3 linked regions of the Diceros bicornis minor genome follow. The protein of the gene in region 1 interacts with the protein of each later gene in a pairwise test. Links are inferred from orthologs where the notes say so. Each region holds a gene or a part of one and is shown in the gene's direction. Other genes may lie near its edges.

Region 1 (6,997 bases):
TAATGGGGTCTAAAAATAATTAGAATTATAGCAATGAAGAGAAGGTGTATGAAATACCTGGTACCTTATTGTTACCATTTCTTCTCTGCTCTCATCTTTTCCTTCTTTTGTTGTTTATGAAGCTGGGTTTACTTGTTATTCAAGTTTTAAAATAGTTATAACTTCAGGTAGACCAGAAATAAGTAGCTTTTTTTTTTTTTTTTTACCACTCCAAGCATCTGTGACCAATGTAAATAGCAAGATCTCAGCCACATGACACTATACAAGGTCCTCTAGAATGGACCCCAGAGACCTATTTGAACAAGATGGTCAAGCACAGGTGTCAGGCTGGCACTGATATTATAGTTAAATATATACATACAAAGGAGAATATAAAGACTAAATGATATGCATTATATATCAAACAAAGCATTGTGATCAGAGGTGGTCTAGTGAGATCTAAAATGGTAATTACATTTTCTCTGGAGTAAAGATTGGAGAATGAAGAGAGAGGACAAACACTGGCCCTGTGAAGCGCCTAAAGGTCATGTCATCCCTGGGTCCTTTTTCTGTCTTATTCCTTATCCCAGGCAGAGAGCAGACTTCTCAACCCTGTGCTTTAAGCCTCTCTCTTTCCCTTCCAGTGAGTGCCATGTGGCATGGGTCTCTGCCAAGGCTCGTAATGAGACAATAGCAAGGCGGCTATGGGACGTCAGCTGTGACCTGCTGGGCATCACTAGGGATTGACAGGTGGTGGCAGTTGGACGCAAGAGCAGCGTGCAGCAGACTACTCAGTACTCCCTGCCAGAATGTTTCTCCTTCAGGATGGCCAAAACCTTGAGCACAAAGAGAGAAAACCTTCCAGCCTTTCCTGCTTGATGTCTGATGAAAGTCCAGGGTACACTGCCAGATTCTTCTAAACACCTTGCATTTGTCCAGGTTTACTTTGCTACTGTTACTACCAGAGTTACTAAAGATATCATAGGGTAAGTACACCCTCATATGACCTGAAAGCTCATATTCTCCTTCTGAAATCTACTACCTAGGAGAACTTAAGCTATGGCAGGGCTGCTTTATGGCAAATTGAACTAGTTTCTACCCTCCCTATTCACAATGAAGTTCTTCCCAACCAACCAACCTTCACTTCAAGAGAGCCACACTGCAGCCTCAGCTGAACTCCAGGAGTCACAGTGGCTTGGCCCAAGAGCAGGGCTTGTCCCTCACCTCTTAAGAAAACCATCATGATGCCAACATCTAGATTCTTTCAGGAAACTCTTAACTGAATCTGGATTGTGACATGGTTTTATCTCTGTCCACCTAGAACCAGTGCTGTTAAGACACTTTCCCATGCCTAGACCACAGAAGAGCTACCTTTTCTAAGAAGTTTGTGGGGTTTTGGGGGAAGGCAGAAATAAAAATCTATTTAAATTGTCATTTTCCTGCTGTTCCTCAGGCCAGCAAGGGGGTAATGAAAGGAGCAGTATGGGAAGCTGGGCCACCTACTTCAGTTACTGACCCCAGACCCGTGGAGGCCTCCTCCTTCATGCTTTAGCTTCTCTTAGAAAACCAGAAGAAAGGAAAGGCTATCTGGTGATTGTCACTGCGTATATCTTTCTGTATTTATGCAGTTGGGAGTATTTTCACAAAATTCAAAACAGCCACCAGGGAACAGTATTAAACTGGACCCTAGTGCAGGTACATGATAGCGATGGAGCAAACCAGTGTCATCTAGACTTGGATACAAATGGATAGAGCTGCAAAGGGAAGCAGACTCTGTGCATGCTGGTAACTAACCCACCAAGAAGCACATGGGTAGCAGGGAAGAAGTTCAAGAAAGAGAAGAATCCTGGAAGATAATGCATGCATTGAAGGGCTTAGTTAAGGATTAAAAAGAGAAACCCCAGCTACAGATGGTAATATCCAGCTATAGAAGAACTGAGGATGAGCACTTGAGTTAGTAAGACTGACAAGGTACTATCTTAACACGCACCAGTCAGCCAATGTGGCAGAGAATAACCCCAAACAAACAAAAATAAAACAAAAAAACCCAATTCTTTAGTCAGTAAAATTATCTTAAGGACTGATATTGGTAATTACAGTCAATTTACTAATCTTTCAGGGCATTTCATTATCTTAATAAGATTAAAATGTCTATTTTCTAAAAGTCTACATCATATTTGGAGAACTTTTATCAAAAGTAATGCTGTCAAAGGATGTCTGAGGAATTGGTAATGTGCCCATCACTTGTTGGGAGTATGGTTTTCTAATACAAGTTTGTGATTTTGTTGGACTGACAATTATATGTTCACTTTGGTGGGGAAAAGAGTTATAGGATCACAGTCTTTGTGTATTTGTAAATTAATAATCTTTTGTTGAACTTGTTTTGACCATTAAATTATATATTTAGAAATGGTTATTTTATGGAAAAATTTGATAATAGTGCAGTAGAATAACTGAATTAATATTTTACCTGATTTATATAGAACTGTCAATGATAAATAAACATTTTTTGATTATCATGTTTTTATTTACCAGAATAAAAACTGTAAGAATTAAACATAAGCTTAATTAGAGTCAACAGAAGAAAACAATTAATTATAGTCAAAAGAAGAAAACATTTTTCATTATTACAGTTACGCAGTCATTTCTCATTCTGAGGATAATTTGTCCCAGAGTCCAGCCAGAGTATAGTCTCAATTCAAATACCATTAATTTTGGTTGTGTGATTTGATTACTCATTCACCCATTTTCTACTTATCTTGTAAGGTCACTTTTTCCATCCCAGGCTATTTATTCTCTCTCCGTTTTGTACCTGCCCCTTCTATAACACAATGCTATGGGACATATCACAATACACTGCCACTAACAACCTCAGACTCTGCTGTCTCTCTATGCTCAATAAATATTAGGAGCTCAACAAAAGTTTGTTGAATCAATAGTCAATGAACTCAGTCTAATAAAAATAAGGATGCAGGAGATATAAATCACAAAATCATTTCCCCCTGAGCAGTCATGTGTCTTTTAATATGTGTGGGCAGTTTTAAGTATTCCGTTGCCAAGCAAACATTTCTGAACCGGTTCCATAGGCAAAGCATGAGGAATTTCCTGCCACTTGAACCATGAAAACGTGGAGTGCAGGTAAGGACTTTGTAACTGTTAACACTACAACTTGCGGAAAGAGACCTGACGAAGGGGTCCGCCTTGCTCACCACATTATATTATATATTATTCTTCACTAACACATGCCCAGACCCCTGCACAATGACTACGCTGAACATTAACAAACACCTGCTGCGTGAACAAATGCACCAGGCGAGCCCGGCCGCTAGAGGCTGAGGGCGTATTTTGGGGGTCACACTGCCCGGCGACCACTTCTGAAAGCATGTGACCCTGGTCACTTGACCTCCCCAGTAAAAGTGCTTCACCGCTCGAGGGCAGGCGGGAACCCGGCCCGGCTATCTTTCCAGGGCTGAAAGCTAACATTAGTCAGGACGTGAACCGAGGAAGTCAGGGTGGCCAAACAGTGCGCCGACGAGGAAGATAACGTCCAGAAGCACACTGATACCAAACCGCTGTGCGTCAGCGTCATCCCCGGCGGGCGCTGCGCGGCCAGAGCCACCGCCCCGGGCAACCAGTGACCTCCGAGTCGGAGCGTCTTCCGCTACGAACTACAGCCCCCGGCATGCACTGCAGCGTTCCCTCCCCCTCGCCAGAAGGCGGGGCCCTGAAGAGAGGCGGCCGCGCTGCCCGTCCCGCTGGTCCCCACAGTCCTTCCCGCTGCGGCGCTCTCCCCAACCCCGGACTGGGTATTTCCGGGGCCCCGGGGCTGTCGCTCCCGCCGGCGCGCCGCTGCCCCCTCAGGACTCGCCTGGGCAGCGCAGCATGCCGGACTTTCCGTCAGGCTTTCGCGCCCGGCGCTCCCACAGTGACGGCATGAAGGGAGTGGGCGTTCCGACGCGGGAGGACCCCGCCGCGGCCCCGGAAGCTCCTCGTTCAGGGCGGCCGTGGCGGCGGTCGCCGTGATGCCTGCGGCGCTGGGCGGCTGACCGCGAGGTAGCAGCGGGCTCCGTGCCCAGAATCTCGGCGGCCGCTGCTAGAACGCGGCCTGCGCCATGGCCACCTCCGCCACCTCCTCGGAGCATTTCGAGAAACTGCACGAGATCTTCCGCGGCCTCCATGAAGACCTACGAGGGGTGCCGGTGCGGCTCCTGGGCACTGCCGGGACAGGTGAGGCGGGGGCGGGCCCAGCCGTGGGGAACTCGGCTCCGCGCGCCCTTGTAGCAAGAGTCCCAGACCCCGGCCCTTTTCTCTGCTCTTCGTCCTCAGACACGCCCCCTAGGGCTGGCTGGGTCCTGGCGCCCAGGATCTCCCTGCAGCCACTTAGGGTGCTCAGGTGTGGACGCCGGAGTGTCATCTCCTTGGGACTCTCCCTCTTAATCCTCCTATAGCTTTCAAAATTTTCTCGTCTCATTTGCACTGTGGCAAGAAGAGCATAGGAAACCTTACATCTGCGGTTCTCTGTTTCAGTAGAATTGTGTTTTTTTTTTTAGCTCTCTGTATTTTGTCTTATGCACTTAAAAGCATTATTCTCAAGAGAGGTCCGTAGTTTTCACCAGACTGGCAAAGGATCCGTAGCACCAAAAGGGTTAAGAACCCAGAGGAGTCATAACTTTGGGGGTTGGTAAATATCAATTTTGGGGGTTGGTCTTAAAAATCAGGATTGTGGCGTCTAGCTATGGTCCTCTTATGAATTTTCTGTTTAGACTATTTCCTGCCCCTTTTCAAAATTGATTTCAAAATACAGGTTGCTGCAAGCTTTGCCTGGAGAAGCTAGAGTTTTGCAGTGAAATCCACAGGAAGACCTGCCACAGTTATTTGCCTCGGAAAAACAGATCTTGATGTCAAGGCAGATAAGATTTTGTTTTATTGTTTTTACTTAAGGATCAGAGCTTGAGTGTTTGTTCTGTGAGTTACCCAAGATCAGATGAATTAAATGATTCCAGTGAGAATGAAATTCATACGTTTGTTTAACATATTTACTGGGAGAGGCTGCTGTGTGCCAGACACTGTTCTGGATGCTGATAATATTTCAGATTACAGTGAAAAGATTTACAAATCCCCGTTCTAATGAGTCAATGATAATATATAAATATTAAGAGGCAGTGTTGAGGGCAATACAAGAAAATAAAGCAGGGCAAAGGAATAGAGAGTTGGGAGTGGGGAGCTCTAATTTTAAATAGGGTGGTTGTGAAAGGCCTCTTTGAGGTGGCGGCATTTGAGCAGGGACTTGAATGAGGGGAGTAAACCATGCAAAACTCTGGGAGAAGTGAGTGTCAGGAGGACAGAATAGCACTGCAAAAGTCCTTACGCAGAAATGAGCTTGGTATGTCCTAGGAAGAACAAGAAGGCCCTTGTGTTTGGAGTGGACTGAGCAGGTAGTGGTAGTAGATGAGGCTGGAGAGAGGTTCGCAGGGCCAGATCGTGTGGGGCCTTGTAGACCAAGGTGAAAGATTTATATCTTTTTCTAAATGCAATGGGATGCAATTAAAGGATATTGAGCAGGAGAGTGATGAGATCTGATTTACAAGGTGGAAAAAGAGACAGTTTTTTCAGCCTGGTGCTGAATTAAATTTTGCACTGTCCATTTCTATAAGGCTAAATAATGCAAAAGGGCATTCCATTTTGAAAAATAGAAAACTGAATTAGTTATATTCACCTTCATCATCTACTTAACCTTCTCATTCGTACAAAGAGGATGATCAAAAAGGTGTGAATTCCTACCCAAGTACAAAATACTCTAACACAAGTTGCTGGTAACAGACTTAGTTGTTTAATGGGTAAGTAAATGTAAAACACACATATTCCCAGGTTATAATAAGAATTTCAGCAACTTTCAATTTCCCTATTCATACTGCTCAATAAATATTTGTTGAATAAATTGAATTTTATTAAGTAAACACACTGGGCCTCATCTCTGAATCCTTTTTTTTTCCTAGTTCTGAGACTACTCCATAAGCTTTCCAGAGATTTAATTTCCATCGTGAATTATTAGGCACTGAATAATGTACATAATACAGCCCTTGCATTTAGGTTATGTGCTTTAATTTAATTCAGTCATTTTTCAATAAATATTTATTGAGAATTGTTACATGTCACTCACTGTTCTGGGCCCTGAGGAGTTCCAAGAGTTCTTGCCTTCAATGGGAGCAAATTTACAAGAAAGTGTGTGATGAGCCCTAAAATAATTTTGAGACCATTAAAAAAAGGTTAACTTGGGCGTGGGGGAGCAAAAAGAAAGGGGAAGAAAGGGAAGCTTCACAGAAAGGAGAACCTTGAACTGAGTGTGAGGCATTGGATGGGAGTTGGCCAGACAGAGGGGAAATGGAACGAGGCAACAAAGGAATAGAAATTGAATGCTCACAGCTGTGACTGGAGCTTAGGCTATGTGTGGGAGAGTAGTAGATGAGGAAAGTAAGACACAGCCAGATTGTGAAGGTACCTAAGTGTAACATTGAGACATTTGGACTTGATATGGAGAATTAGTAAAGGATTTTAAGAAGCTGACTAATATGGTCAGAGTTTATTTTAGAAGGAGAATGTTGGTGGCTGAGTAGAGGATGCAAGAGAAGCACAAGAATCTGGATACAGGGGACCATGTTAGGAGCCTTTGAGGGAGTCATCTAGATAACATGGGAATCTAGAGAATCCTAAATCCAAGAGGTGAGTCTGAGGCAGAAATTAACCAGACTGATTGGACATGGAGAAGGAGGGAGAAAGATTCAAGGGTGTCTGTATTTTCTCCCTTGGTCAATTGACGAACATAAGAAATATAAGAGTAGAAGCAGGCTTGTTTGGGTTGTGGATGAGAACTTCAAGGGTCCTTATAGAATTGAGAGCATAATGTATGTCAGTTCTAGCCTGACAAGATATTTCTTCTTCTGCCATTAAAAACAACATTTACGAAGACGATATCATGTGAATTGAGAGGCAGTATAGTGTAATATTTACCAGCAAGTAT
Region 2 (7,591 bases), on another chromosome or scaffold:
AACTCAGTGATTCTGTTTCTTGTTTCCTGGGGGAGGGGGTAATGATTGTTTTTAGGTTTTAGAGTGGTCGATCATACTTCCGGGTGCATGGCCCATTATCTGCAGTGGTCTACACGAGGGCCCTCTGGTTTTATGCACTTACTTATTCTCTCTTACCTCCCACTGCCACGCCCCTTCTCTCCATAGTTAGTCTGTTTAATGTGATTTTTTTGTTTGTTTCTGTGCACTCAGGCAGAATGGGTGGTGATATTTTGTGTGCATATATTTTTAATCTGTGTCTGTTGTATTGTGTGAGATCTCGATCTTAGCACTCTGTTTCTGAGATCCTTCCGTGGTGCCGTATGTGCTCTGATCCTTTGCTCCTAAGGGCTGCGTAGTACTCCCCAGTGTGTCCCTGGACAGCCTACAGCTGCCCCAAGTGATGGGCATGCAGACTTCCCTACCCCACCACAGAAAGCACAGGAGAGAACCTCGACTCATGTGCCCCCTGAGGAACTGTGTGAGGAGTTCTTTGAGCAGAACCACCAGTTTCCAGACTTCTTCCAGACTGGTTCCAGCAGAGGAGGTTCCACCTCCAGGTTCCACCAGGAGGAAGGTGTTGTGGGTGGAGGCTGGGGAGATAAGCAGGGGACAGTGCATGCTGGGCCTTCACTGCTGGCCGTGACGAGGATTTAGGTCTTTATCCTGAGAACAAGGGAAGCCAATGAATTAAATGAAAGCAGGGGCTCAGATTTGTTTTTTAAAAACTGGCAGCAGTGGCTCTTTAGTGCTGGAAGGGCTCTTCAAGACCCCTAGTCACACTCTTTGGATTGACAGAAGGCCTCTGAGGCCCACGGGGGAGGTGAGATGCTCAGGGCCACACAGCTGGCAGAGGCAGAGCCGGGATAGGCACTCTGGCCTCTTGACACTTTGCCAGCGTCGTGAGCCTCCCTGCTTGCAGAGGGCCGTCTGAAGGTGGTGGCCTCTGGAGGCTTGGGATTTGTCCCAAAGTGGGGGCACTCGGGTTGCTCTTGCTCACTTCCCGTCACCTGGACTTGTCTAGAATTCTGAGGGCACTGACCAGGACCAACCGAAGAACCCCAAGCCAGACCCAGGCTTCTGCTGCCATGGGGCTCAGGCCTCAGCCCTTCAGATACCCCCAGGCAGTCCCTGGGAAACGTCTCACACTGGCCTAATGAGCGAGAACCGAACCAGAGGGTTAAAGACACACGTGCCGGTCCTGGTTCTGCCTCTTACTCTCTGGACCTCAGTTTCCTCCTCTGTGAAATGGGAAGGTAGAATAAGATGCTCTCTCAAGTCTGTCCCTTCTTCCCCACACTTTTGTTTAAGTCTCAGGTACCTGGGACCTCAGGTACCCCATCTCCCTGGGGCCTCTCTCTCAGTTCTTTCAGTTCTCAGCGGGGGCAGCTGGGCAGCTGCACCCTCCGAGTTTCATTGACCCTTTTCACCCCTGTGCTTCTGGCCTCCGCTCCGGAGAGGCACAGAGAACTGAGCCTTTGTTCGCAGGAACAAAGCTGTTTGCAGTTTCAGACAGAACCATTGTATTACATCCCATCCAAAGAGTACTTGAGTCGTGTTTTGTTTTGAAAGCTTGTTAGCATTCCAGATTTAATTAACTGGCAGAGACAAAGCTGCCCCACTTCCGCCACCCCCAGTCCATGCCCACTCCATCCACCGACCCCAGTTGCTAGCCAGCAGCCTCGAAGCGCCTGCCCACATGGGGCAGAGTACCCATTGTTCCCCTGGGGGCCTCCCCTGGCAGATGGAAGGGAAGTCCTTACTGCAGCGTCTCCCTCATGCTCCCCTCCCTTCTGTCTCCCCCTCCTTTCTCAATTCTGCCGCTAATATTCACTGTGTGCCTGGCCCCAGGCTAAGCGCTTTGTGTGTTTTACCTTATAGTATCCTCAAAATCCAACAGGCAAGTCTGAGTATATCTGTTGTCCACGGGAGACATTAAGTCAGTTACCTGAGGTCACAGAAGTAGTAAATGGCGAAGTCGGGCCCCATACCTAAGTCTGTGTGACTCCAAAGCTTTTGCTGCGAGCTCTTATCAAAAGCTCCCTCCCTGGAAACAGAGCCACTTGTGGGGACAGGAAGAGCTGCAATACGGACTTGCAGGGTCAGGTCCTAGAGATATTTCTTGTTACTTGGAAGTCTGCCTGCCGAGAGCATCCACACGCCGAGGGCACCCACGCGCCGGGGGCATCCACACGGGGTCCCGTTCTTGCCTCTCGCTTGCCCTCTTCCCTGGCACAGCCTCTCAGGTGTCTGCGAACAGTGTTCAGCACCCCCTGCCCCCAGCCTCCCGCTCTCCAGACTAAGCATCAGACACCCTTGGTTCCCAGACCTCTTCCCCACGTCCTCGTCCCAATCCTGCTTTTCTCAGCCCACCCCTTGCCAGGGTGTCACAGACTGTGTCAAGAGGAGAAGGCCTGTCCCCTCGGCTCTGGGACGGGCTGAAGCTCCTTCTCAGGCCGACTTCCCCTGACAGGGATGGGGAAGCAGCAGTGGAGGCCCAGCCTGGGGCGGGCAGCACGGAGTCCAGTTAAGAAAACAGATGCTGGAGCCCAGCTGCCTGGGTCTGAGTCCTGGCTCTTCTGTCCACGAGCTGCGATGGCCTTGAGCCAGTCCCTTCACCCCTCGGACTTCTGTCTTCCTCTCTGTAAAATGAGCACAGGCCTCTTGCCTGGCCCATGCAGTGGTCGTAAGGACTGAATGAGGAAGTCTTGTGAAGCAGTCACTGCGCAGCTTAGCGCTGCGCCTTGCTGGGCTTGGGAGGGGGAAGGACAGGATAGTTCTGAGGTGTGGAGGAGCCAGAGCTCATTAGCCTGAACTGCAGACCCAAAGGCTTGCACCTTGTGGTGCTGTGAGAACCAGGTCTCCAGCTTGAAGCAAGTGACTGAAGCGATTCCTGGAACATTCTCCGTCAGGCAGGAGGGAGACTAATACAGCTGCCCACCCCCTTCTTTGTGGTACAGCTCTCTCACCTTGCTCCAGGTGAGTTCCCAGAACAACGACTCTAAATGCAACACACAAAAGTCTCATACAGATGATTTTTTGACCATCCCGTTGCCCCTAAGGTGCAGGTGCCCTCCTGCCTCACTGGCCCAGCTGCCGAATGTCCCGCCTGATCGCTTCCATTCAGCGTTCAGAATTTCCTGAGCCCCCGCTGCATCTGATGCATGCACTCTCTCTCATCCTTACGCGCTCTCTGCGCTCTGTCTCTCTCTTCTCTCCACAAGGCAGCTTCAGGGCAGCTAGATTTTTTTACATGGCTGCTGAAGGTTTCCAGAGCAAGTGTCCCGAGAGAAGCAGCAGAAGCTACGTGGACTTTTCTGAGCTCAGCAGTCAGGCAGCATCACTTCTGCCAGATTCCCATCTTTGAGGCCATCCTCCAGGTCAAGGGGAGGGGGCATAGACTCCACCTATTGATGGGAGGACTGTGGAAGGAGTCACAGACACCATTGGAGACCCCCACGGGAATCAGGTTACAGGGAGGTAAACAGCTTGTCCAAGGCACGTCGCTAATAAATGGCGAGCACCTGTGTTCTATTCCAGAGTCCTCCTATGCCAAAATCAGTTTCCTTTTCCACTGCCGTCCTGCCTGCCTGGGGACTGCAGAGATGAACAGGACATGGGCCTGCCCTCAGCCAGCTTACCTCCCAAGAGGAATCAAGCGCTTACTCACTGCCAACCCAGGTCCTTGTCATCTCACTGCCTCCTTCTGGGGACTCATTCACCGTGTTGCTCGCTGATCAGCAGGACTGGTGAGGTGGAGGGGTTGTGGGGAGCCGGTGTGAATTCCCAGAGCCCCACACCCTCAGCCTTTGCCCAGAGGGGCTAGAAGTGTTTTCATCAGGGCTGTTCTCGCTCTGAGGAGTCCCGCTGGTAAGCGTCGGGATGGAGACGCATAGGTCCCGAGGGATAGAGCAGTGCTCAGGAAATGTTTGCCAAGTGAAACCGTTGTTGGGAATCTTCTCCTCCCCGGGAACGTCTCCTCCCCCAGCACCTACCCTCTGCCTCCTAGTTTTCCTGCTACACACCCCCCAAAATGTCACAGAAAATGGGGGCCACCACTCCACCCTCTCCCGGAGAGGACAGAGACCACAGCGGTGCCCCGGCCCAGCAAGGCCAGCTCTTCCTCTCAGAGCCCAGGGCAGTGCTGAGGAGTGTGATGATGGTGATGGCAGAAATGGCTGATCAAGCATATTCCTTCTAGATGTTTCCACCCCTTCTCAGTTCCCTTGGCAGCCCCTCACTTGGTTCTGCATTCAGGACTACCCAAGCAAAACTTCAAAATAGGCCTCGTCAGCCTGCCTTGCCCCATCCTCTTGTGGGTTTCCAGGAATAGCGGGAAGGTCATGGAATGTGGAGGCCCACAGGCCTGGGTTCAGTTCCCCATTCTGCCACTTCCTGGATCTGTGACCCTGGTCAAGTCGCTGGACCTCTCTCTGCCTCTGCAGCTCCACGTATGAGATGTGGGCACGAACGTTAACTCACAGCATGGTTGTGGGTATCGAATAGCATAAGGCTCGTGGTGTGCCCGGCTCAGAGCTGCCAGAGTAGGAGCGTAATGGAGGGTGAGTCTTCCCTGTTGGTTAACCCTCCCCAGGGAGAAGCTGGTAGAAAACTGCTCAGGCTTACCCCCCATCGTTCCCCCCTCTCTTCTGTACCCACGGCAAGGAGGAACAATAGTCCCATAAACAAGGGTCCATGTCTGATGGCGAGGTTTCAGACACAGTGATGGGCTGTGGAGCCCGGCACCATCTCCCAGGTGGAGGACGCCATACTTCTTGAGACATTGAGGGGCGGAAGTGTTGGAGATTTCTCAAAGATGCTGTGGCGTCGAGAGCAGAATTCCTGAGTGAGTCTTGTCTAGTGTGTTGGTTAATGGCGTGGGCTCTGGAGACAGACTGCCTGGGTTCTGGTCTTCGCTTACCCGTTTATTAGCTGACCTTGGCCGAGTGACTTGACTTCTGTGCCACAGTTTCTTCATCTGTAAAGTGAGCGTGAGTAGCACCTACTTCTAGAGTAGCAGCTGCTTCTAGGATTGTCGTGAGGGTTAAGTGTGTTAATATCTGTAAGGCACTTGGAGTAGCCTAGCACGTCGTAGACACTCAGGGTGTTAGCTGATGGGGGACATGGTAGCAGCTAACTTCCTGGCTCTGCCATTGGCTGGCTGTTGACCTTGGGCAAGCCACCTCCCCTCTCTGGGCCTCAGTTTCCCCATCTGAGAATTTAGCAGACTAGACCAGATGCCCCTCAGGGCCTGTCAGGCTCTGGCCATCTGTGGTTCTAGAAGCCCGGGCAGGACTGAATGTGATGTTCTGTTGGTCAGGGCCCCCTGTGACTATGTGGGCGTGGCTGGGAGGTCACTCCTGGCCCTGTTTGGGAAGGGAAGAAAAGCTGAATGGGACAGAACCTCCCTCCTCACGTAAACAGGAAGAGGCTGGGCCAGCCTTCCGCTCCCGTTCCAGTGGGCTGGCAGCCTGGCAGCGCCCAGGATGAGTCACTGACAGGAGCAGCCACGGGTTCTGGAGCTCAGGCAGCACCAGCCCCGGGGCACGCGGTTGCTGCGGAGTGTAGTGGTGGGATTGGGGCGCTAGGTGACAGGAGAGGGATCACGGTGTTTCCACATGCCCCAGGGAGGCTCTGGAGGCCGTTTGCCTGCAGGCTTACTCAGGGTCCCTAGAGATCTGGCCTGGGATACTGAGCTCCTGCCTTCCAGTCCTTCTTCCCTCCGCGCCGTGTAGCCTTTGCAGAGCCGTGAGCCAGGGATCAGGGACGAAAGCTGTACCACCACCACCCCATGCAGCTGTTAGGGTTCCAATTTCCCCCAGATGCAGGGACTCCCTCCTCCCCTGCCTCCCTCCCTCCCGGGCTCTCACCATCCTCCTGCCTTTGCTGCAGTAGCCTTTTCCTGAGAAGCAGTATGGCAAATTGGAAAGACCACTTGGTGTCAGGAAGCCCTGGGTTCAAATTTCTGGTCTGCACTTACTTGGGCAAGCCAGTTAACCTCACTAAGCCTCGATTTCCATGCCTAGAAAATCCCCTTCACCCTGTGCAAGAGGCGAGTCGAGGAGCCCGATGTGCAGTCACCGTCAGCAGCTGCCTCTGAGTCAGGGTTTCACGCGTGGCAATGCAGCTCGCTCGCTGTAAACTATTGAAAAGCCAGCCCTTGACACAAGCAGCCGCCTCTCACCGACAAAACGGGCTGATGATGATAATGTCTACCTCACAGGGCTGCCGAGGGAAACAGATGAACTGCGTGTGCAGAAGCGCCTGGGAACTGCACGGAGCCTGCCCGGAGAGGTGGCACTGCCGTTCCCAGAACAAGATAGTGAGTGGAAGGGTGAGCGGGCAAGGAAGAAGCTGACGTAATCTCTAGGAGTGAGACCAGAGGACGGAAGGACGAAGAGGCCCAGGACCATGGTGGTCCATGCAGGCACGGACTGTTTTGAGCCTAGCCCAGCGCTTGCAAGGTGTACGACTGCTGCTCGATAAATGTGTGTGGGACTCACCCATGAATGAGCAGGGACTGAAATCAGCCCAGCGCTCCACCCACCCCCTCCACCCCTGTCTATCACAGGCCTCTGCTCCTCACCCTGACCAGGACCAGGGCTTCTTAACCTGGGGTCCGTGGGTGCCCTCCAAAATTATATGCAGAATGTAGTATGTGTTTGAAAATGTATCTTCCTGAGTACAGAAATGTTACATTTCTGCCCAGACAAGCTTTTCAACAAACGCTGCTCTGACAGGTAGGCATCTCCCAGGCACTCAGTGAATCCTCGTCAGTTGGATTCATCTGGCCCCCAGGGCTGCCAGGTACCCTGTGGATTTAAAAATAAAAAAACAGCTTCCACCTCTGTCTCTGAGCTGTGCATACAGGGCCTGCCAGCCTGCAGTTTGCTCCACCCCCACGAGGCGCGAGGCGAGGAACCTGCCGTCCTTCATACGCAGGAGTGATGGTCCCGCATCATCGGGGGCCTGACTTCTGAGTGGCTGTTCTGCTGCTGGGTGGTCTCACAGAGCCACACACATGCTCTCAGTCTCTTATGACCCCCTTGTGACACTGAGGTGACAGGTGGGAGTCAGGGCCCAGAACCTGGGAGTATTAATGAGGCCTCTTGGTATCTGAACTCAAGATGGTGGTCTCTTTTTTAAAATACTTTTTTCCTCACTACAAATAAATATATCTATATGTGTATATATGTATATACTTATCTATGTGTGTATGTATGTATTGGAGGAAATTTAGGATATATAAACAATGAAAAAAATCACCTCTAATTTCACCCTCCTCCAAAGAAGCCTTGTTGTTACCTGGCTTCTGTTCTTCCCATTTACCATGTACGACATTTGTTAAGCACTTACTGTGTGCCAGGCATTCACTGGGCTGCATGCCCTGCCAGCACTATTTCGTGTTAACCTCCCGTCTTACACAGGGTCTTCTCCCCCTTTATATACGCACCGTTATAGTTTTCATTTTTAAGGCCAGGAGATCGTACTATTTTGTAACCTTGCCTTTCTCGCTCCATACCATTGGAATTTCTTCCCGGGTTATTAAATATTCATCTCCAGAGTCATCTGT
Region 3 (7,349 bases), on another chromosome or scaffold:
TAAGCAACTCAAGTACAAGATCTGTGTTCTCTGTAACTTTCATGCTGTCCATTTATTAGACAAATAAATAATATTGCTGTGCTGAAATGGATTAGAGAATCACACAAGACTATCAAAATCAAAATTTTATGATTTATAAGAAAAAATTCTTGAAATTCAAAATGTTTAGATAATTAAAATAAATGTGATGATGGCATAACAATTACAAACAGAATGTCCTAGAAAATTGCATATTAACTGCCTGAATCAAGAGATTCCCCAAATTTATTTAAGGTAACAGCCACCCACAAAATTGAGCATTTAAAGAAGCTAGTGGATGGGGCCAGCCTGGTGGCATAGTGGTTAAATTCGCACGCTCCACTTCGTTGGCCTGGGGTTCGCAGGTTCAGATCCCGGGCGCAGACCCACACACTGCTTATCAAGCCATGCTGTGGCAGGCGTCCCACACATAAAAAAAAAAAAAATAGAGGAAGATGGACACAGATGTTAGCCCAGGGCCAATTTTCCTCAGCAAAAGGAGGCGGATTGGCAACCGATGTTAGCTCAGGGCTAATCTTCCTCACTAAAAAAAAAAAAAAAAAGCTAGTGGCCAGAAAAAAAAGTTAGTGGCATTTGAAATAAAATGATTCTTAACGAGAGACAGTAAATGAAAGGGAAACTAGTTAGGAGGTAAACTACTACTGAGCAGAAGACATTCTTTTAGTCTTCCAAGTTGCATTCAGAGATACAGCTGAAAAATGCTGTGTGAAAATAAATTCTATATAATATGTTCTAGTGCTTAAGACTGTATAGGTACTAATATCAAATTTGGGCTCAAACTCAGTTTAAGGCAACACCAATATGGTTGGTAGGTTTTTCTTCTCTGAAAATGAAATTTTTCTAGGTTGCCTCTAAGATCTCTTCCAAGTCCAAATCCCTGAGTCTGTGAACTCTATTGCATCATATAGCTGGGTGCTCTTTTTTTTTTTTTAGTAAAGAAGATTGTCCCTGAGCTAACATCTGTGCCAATCTTCCTCTATCTTGTATGCTGGACGTTGCCACAGCGTGGCTTGATGAGCGGTGTGTAGGTCTGCGCTGGGGTCTGGCCCCCTGAACCCTGGGCTGCCAAAGCGAGCACATGAACTTAATGACTACGCCACCAGGCCGGCCCCCAAGCTGGGTGCTTTTTTCCCAGGTAAAATGACCTATGAACTGTCAGGCAGATTCTCCTAGCTCACTGTCCTTGATTCACTGCCACTGTAATCATGGCGGCAGTCTCGGCTGTGTTTTCTTTGAAGTCCTAGAAATAAACCACAGGTGCCTTTAACTTTGGAAAGTCATGTGTTCTCTTTATTATAATTCTGATGAGGCCAACGTGATGGGAGACAACAGGAGGGTGCTTAAACTCTGTAGCTATTAGAACTCCAAATCAGAAAGTTAGCTTGCCTACAGGGCACTTCTCTGTGACTGTGACTGTTTGGGGGCTTGAGATAGAAGATGTCTAAGCAGGGAGCCTGACCTGAGCACCCAAAGGTTGTCCTAAAATTCATGTTTTATTGCCTCCTGTTCATATAACCTGTTAATAACTGCAAAGGTTTATCATTTTTTAACCTTTTCCTACTTTCTTTCAAAAGGAGATTGGTGCAGGCATATAGGCAGAGACCCAAAGCAGCTGAACTTCCCTCTCCTCACCTTTTTTTGGGTAGCTGAGCACCTTAGCACCTCAGATTTTTAAGCTTATGGTTTTAACCACGTACTTCTGTGTCTGAGTGTTACTTCTTTGTCCAACCTTTCCAGGCCAACGTGGTCTTCTGGAGAGTGCCTGAATCACAGTCCACAAACTCAGTATGTCAAGTTGACTGCCATTGGTTTTGTAGGCTCCTGTAGCTCTCTGCTACTTCCTGGTCATGCTGGGTTACAGAAATCTTTGGCAGAGTTGGGAACCCATGGGCCACTAAAGCAGTCTCCCTGGAGCCACAGATGTAGGCCCTCTTTTTTGGTGTCATAGCTTCCCTCCACCAGGACCTGAGTAATTTCTACCTTGGGGCTATCATACTTCTCTTTTTCTGCTTCTTCCAAACATTCAGCTCCCGCATTATCAACGTCCCCCACCAGAGTGGTACATTTGTTGCAAGTGACGAACCTACATTAACACATCATAATCATCCAGAGTCCATGGTTAGTTACCATTGTGTTGTTTCTTAAAAGAATAATTCTATAGACGTATAGTGCATTTATTGCTATGGAAAGATATTCACATCATATTGTTCTGACAGGAAGTTAAGAAGCTGTTTATCAGGATGACTCTAAAAATAGAAAATGTACGTGCATAAAAAAAGTCGAAATGAGCATGTACCACCACACAACAGTGCGCATAGCGCTGGAATCCACACATGATAAGCAACCTCGTCAGTAGCTGAGTTGGTGAAGACATTTGAGATTGGCTCAGGACTCACTGATATTACCTTAATTTCTGTTTCATACTGTGTTTGATGTGCTTCCTGTATTTTACTGTATAAGAGCCTAAGACCTGGACGCACCCGCACCACGCAGTCCCCCAGGGCTCACAGACGATTTAGCACGGCGGCAGGCGACCTTTAGAGGCAGGGGAAGCTGTGAGGGGAGCGCCTTGAGATCGCGCTGGAGAAAGCCTCTCAAGAAAAAAAGGGAAAAGGACTACTGAACTGTATGTTTCCTGATTCTAGGGGGTTAAGAAGGTGAAATAGGAACTCAGTGGAGAAACTGAACTGGAAGTCAGGAATTCTGTGCCCCAGTCGCGTCCTCTCTGGGCAACCACTTCATAAAGCGGGACCAACGGGAGGCAAGGAGGAGCAGGAGACCGTCCTGAGGGGTCCTCGCTCCGCCAGCTCGCGGAGCCGGTTCTCCGGAAGCACCAGGGGACGCTCCGGGGTCGGGCGCCCAGGTCCCTGCCTCTCCGCGCGGAGGCCGCTCGCCTCAGAGGAGGTCGAGCTCGCCCGCTGGGTGCTCGCGCCGCGGGCGGGCGGAGACTGCCGGCGCGGGGACTGTGAGGGGACAACGGAAACACTGCGCTTCGAAGTCCAGCATCACAACATGCGGCCTGGCTTCTAGGGGCCTTCTTCGTGGGGAACGTCGGCCGCCGCCCCAGGAGAGACCCGCCCTGGGGCGCGGCCGCCAAAACCCGGCCTCTGCAGCGCGCCTCGGGCCTTCGGAGAGGGGCAGGCACCCAGGGCGCAGGCGCAGAACGCTGCCGGAGTCTCGCGCAGAGTCCTCGCGATCACGCCCCGCCCTGGCGGGCGCAGCCGACCGTTTACTTTCGAACCGCGGTCCCGCACTTTCCCATTGGCCAATGCTGGGCAGTTGAATGTTGCGCGGAGACTGCGCCTGCGCCCTCAGACCCGCGAGGCCCCGCCCGGTCTGCACGCCTGAAGTCCCTGAGGGCGGAGGGCGCGGCCGCCGAGCGTGTCTCCGCGTGCCCGGGAAGCGGGGAGCTCGGTTTCCGTGCGGGCGGCCCTCCCCGTGTTGAGGCCGAGGAGGAGAAGACGGCTCTGGGTGCCTCTTCCCCGGAGCACAGGCAGGCATACAGGGTGTGTTTGCAGGGAGTCGAGGGTCGCGAGGCGGAGGTGGGCTTAGGTCCTGACCCGCTCCCTCTTGTCCCAGAGGGGACTTGTCCTCCCTCAGGTGGCACTGCCTTTCCGGGGAGCAGCCCGCCGTAGCGGGGAGGGGCGAGCGGGCCTCCAGAGGCCGGGCGGCCGCGGGCTCGCGGGGGAGGCGCGTCCGGCGGCGGCCCGGGTGTCGTCGTCGACCCTGGGGAAGGGGAGGCTCTCCTTCGAGAGGGGCTCTCGGGGCTTCGCGGGAGGAGGTGTGATTGTGCCACGTCACACGTGCTGAGAGGCAGCAGGGAGAACTGACCCAGGGTCCCACGGCGTTTACGTGGCGGAACTGAGAGATGAACAGACGTATTGATGGGAATAACCTAAGTTAATATTTATAATTTTAAGCTGGCAAAATCTTGGACTCCTGTGGAGGCTTCTTGTCTTCCACTTAACTTGAAGCAATCTGAAATGACCACGAACGTTTGCTCCCTCATCCCCATTGTTGACTAATATTGTCGAGAGCTCAGGAGACACTGGACGCTATAAAAAGAGGTCCTTTGTGACAATTGATTTGGTCACAGAATTGTTGGGATTTTCAAGGTACGAGTGATACCTGTCCTGCTGCTCCAACAACTGGTGATATTTGTCAGTACTTTTCTAAAAGCACTGAGGTGTAAAGAAGGTAACTGTCAAAGACAGTGAAAGAACCATTCCTGTGATATCGTATTTAATATATTTTTTGAGGATGTAAATCTAAAACATTAAGGTAAAATTGTTTTAATTTTAGAATTAGAATTGAAAAAGCTGGAGAAGCTAAAGAATATTCAGTCTCCAAGCTAGAAGATCAACAAAGTAGGTAAGCTCTGGGAGACTAAGTGAATATGAAAGAAATCTTCAGTAAATTTTTACTGAGTGTATGATTTAAACTGTAAGTGAAATTTTTAAATCTTTTGAAAAAAGATGTACGTTGGTGTTGTATAAAATTCAAACCATATAAAAGGAGCATAAAGTGAAAAACAACTCCCTCTTCTGACCTTTAAGTCGTTAACTCTTGTATACTCTTTTAGAAATTTTACAAGGATGTGTGCATCTTAATACACGGTCTCATTTTATACATACAGATCTTTAAATTGCATTTATTAAGTTATCTGGACACCTTGTTATTATGTATTTAGATATTGATATGTGTTCTGTTTTAATGATCAAGTAGCTGTCCTTTGAAGTAAGGTACCATAATTTAACTGCTCTGGCAAGGTGAAATTTTGATTTTAGGTAATGTTACTTTGAACATTGCCTTTCAGCAAACATATTGCTGAATGTTTTCCACCAGATATATTTTCACTTTGAAAAGTATAAACAAAAGCAATGAAAACCTTAACTTCTCATTTCAGTTCCTTGTTAAATTGCATTAATAGTTTCTTTTTTGGTTTGGGAAAACAGGTTGATGTCAAAATGCAGGAAAATAGTACAAACGGGCACAGTTAAAATCAGATCTGACCTTAGGATTTTTTTTTTTTTTTAATTTGAAAGAGTTATGGTGATCCTTCATTATTTTTTTATATTTATATGTACAAAAGTATTTTTAAAATCTTGCCCTATGTATATATATGTAGCACAGTTGTAGTATTTCTAAAGTAAGTCTTGAATTGTATGAAATGTGCGTTTTATCAGTTAGGGCCACAAAGATGTGAGCCCCAGTCTGGCTGTTGGCACCTCTTGAATTTTCCCAGACTTAGAGCTGACTCACACTGTAAGTCCAAGAGCAAGCCATCCAACTCTATAATGTGGTCAATGTAATTTCTTTTCAGAAGTTGTAAAATGTAATGAATGTGTTATAATCATTGATGTTTAGAGATGAAAGGCAATACCACATTAGTGAATTAAAACTTAAAAAATAGTTTACACAGGAGAACGGGTAAGGATATTTTTGGTACTGCTTCATTCTCCATCATCTATTATTAGCGCTGACCATCCATAATATGCTGGTTAGACATTGTGGAGGCTCCACAGGAAATCAGCCCTCTGGAGAAACTGCATAAAAAGTTTACAAATTCAGAAGTGTGTTTGTTTTTGACACTTGAAAACAAGAAATTTGTGAAATAATTTACAAGTAGATGATTTAGCTTCAGGTTTCTTTCTGAAAAGATTTATTTTTTATATTCATGTATCTTAGTGACTTTTAAAAGGGAAGCAGAAAGCCTTGAACTAAGTTATCAATTTTTACTTGGGCTTTTAGTACTCACTGGAGGAAAATAACAGTTTACACGGGTTACTTTTATTTTACTTCTTAAAAGTGTAAAATAATATAAATTGATTCTAAAATTAATTTGGCAGAGGAAAGGCTGGATAATAGGCAAGACACTTAAAAAATTTTAAAGTTTTAGACAATTCCTGCCCTATTGCAGACTCACACATTGTAATGTATAGAAAAGTATTACAGAATTCTTTTAAATAAAATCCAGTTAAGTGCTATGAAGTAGAAGTGCAGATTAACAGGGGACCTAATCTGGGGAGGAGGCGGGGCTCAAATTGAGACTTGAAGAATGAATAAGAGTTTGGTTTTGCAAATGGTGAAGATAAGGAGCATAGAGCTAAAAAGTCTAAATGGTGTTTTTTTTTCCCTAATTGATGCCTTAATATTTTATAACATTGTGAAATTTTAGTTCTACGTTATTATTTGTCAGTCACCATATAAATGCATCCCTTCACCTCTTGTGTCCACCCCCCAACCCCCTTGCCCCTGGTAACCACCAAACTGTTCTCTCTGTCCGTGTGTTAATCTTCCACATGTGGTGATCATGAAATCATGCGTTGTTTGTCTTTCTCTTTCTGGCTTATTTTGCTTAATATAATACCCTCCAGGTCCATCCATGTTGTTGCAAATGGGACAATTTTGTCTTTTTTATGGCTGAGTAGTATTCCATGGTGTGTGTGTGTATATATATATATATATATATATATATACACACACACACACACACACCCCACATCTTCTTGATCCAATCATCAGTCATCAGACACTTGGGTTGCATCCACATCTTGGCTATAGTGAATAATGCTGCAATGAATATAGGGGTGCAGAAGCCTCTTTGGGTTGTTGATTTCAGGTTCGTTGGGTAGATACCCAGTAGTGGGATAGCTGGACCATAAAGTATTTCTGTTTTTTATTTTTTGAGGAATCTCCAAACTGTCTTCCATAGAGGTTGTGCCAGTTTGCATTTCCACCAGCAGTGAATTGGTTCCCGTTTCTCCACAACCTCTCCAACATTTATTGTTTTTTGTCTTGGTGATTGTAGTCATTCTAACAGGTGTAAGGTGATATCTTAGTGTGGTTTTGATTTGCATTTCCCTGATGATTAGTGATGTCGAGCATCTTTTCATGTGCTTGTTGGCCATCTGTATCTCTTCTTTGGAGAAGTGTCTGCCCATTTTTTGATTGGGTTGTTTGTTTTTTTGTTGTTCAGTTGTGTGAGTTCTTTATATATTATGGAAGTTAACCCCTTGTTGGATATATGGTTTGCAAATATTTTCTCCCAGCTGGTTGGTTGTCTATTCATTTTGATCCTGGTTTCATTTGCCTTGTAGAAGCTCTTTAATCTGATGAGGTCCCCCTTGTTTATTTTTTCTTTTGTTTCCCTTGTCCGAATAGACATGGAATTCGAAAAGATCCTAAAGAGGTTTTTATGTTTATTAAAGGTACAATTAGTTATTTGTAGATCTCTTCTCAAACTTTTGATCTTAAAAGTTAGTTTTATAGAGGAGGATTTGGAAACCTTTATATTTTACATGAATGGC

Evidence for each region. The genes of interacting proteins can lie anywhere in the genome.
Region 2: the proteins of VTI1B (region 1) and PTPN5 interact in binary tests that used the Homo sapiens proteins (3 or more experiments, as listed by UniProt). The two-hybrid records come from large-scale screens. The link is inferred for Diceros bicornis minor from reciprocal best matches to the Homo sapiens genes VTI1B and PTPN5.
Region 3: the proteins of VTI1B (region 1) and TRIM59 interact in binary tests that used the Homo sapiens proteins (3 or more experiments, as listed by UniProt). The two-hybrid records come from large-scale screens. The link is inferred for Diceros bicornis minor from reciprocal best matches to the Homo sapiens genes VTI1B and TRIM59.

The regions. Positions count from the first base shown.
Region 1 is NC_080763.1:16,317,963-16,324,959, reverse strand, and holds the start of VTI1B (vesicle transport through interaction with t-SNAREs homolog 1B), read left to right. Parts: upstream 1-3,975; 5' UTR 3,976-4,091; coding exon 4,092-4,206; intron 4,207-6,997. Other genes in the region: RDH11 (retinol dehydrogenase 11), read left to right, coding at 624-726. UniProt on the Homo sapiens protein: V-SNARE that mediates vesicle transport pathways through interactions with t-SNAREs on the target membrane. These interactions are proposed to mediate aspects of the specificity of vesicle trafficking and to promote fusion of the lipid bilayers.
Region 2 is NC_080746.1:76,450,881-76,458,471, reverse strand, and holds the start of PTPN5 (tyrosine-protein phosphatase non-receptor type 5), read left to right. Parts: upstream 1-4,573; coding exon 4,574-4,580; intron 4,581-6,241; coding exon 6,242-6,352; intron 6,353-7,591. UniProt on the Homo sapiens protein: May regulate the activity of several effector molecules involved in synaptic plasticity and neuronal cell survival, including MAPKs, Src family kinases and NMDA receptors.
Region 3 is NC_080754.1:66,345,682-66,353,030, reverse strand, and holds the start of TRIM59 (tripartite motif-containing protein 59), read left to right. Parts: upstream 1-4,331; 5' UTR 4,332-4,410; intron 4,411-7,349. Other genes in the region: uncharacterized protein LOC131414636, read left to right, coding at 2,324-2,387, 3,010-3,545, 3,960-4,064. UniProt on the Homo sapiens protein: E3 ubiquitin ligase involved in different processes such as development and immune response. Serves as a negative regulator for innate immune signaling pathways by suppressing RLR-induced activation of IRF3/7 and NF-kappa-B via interaction with adapter ECSIT.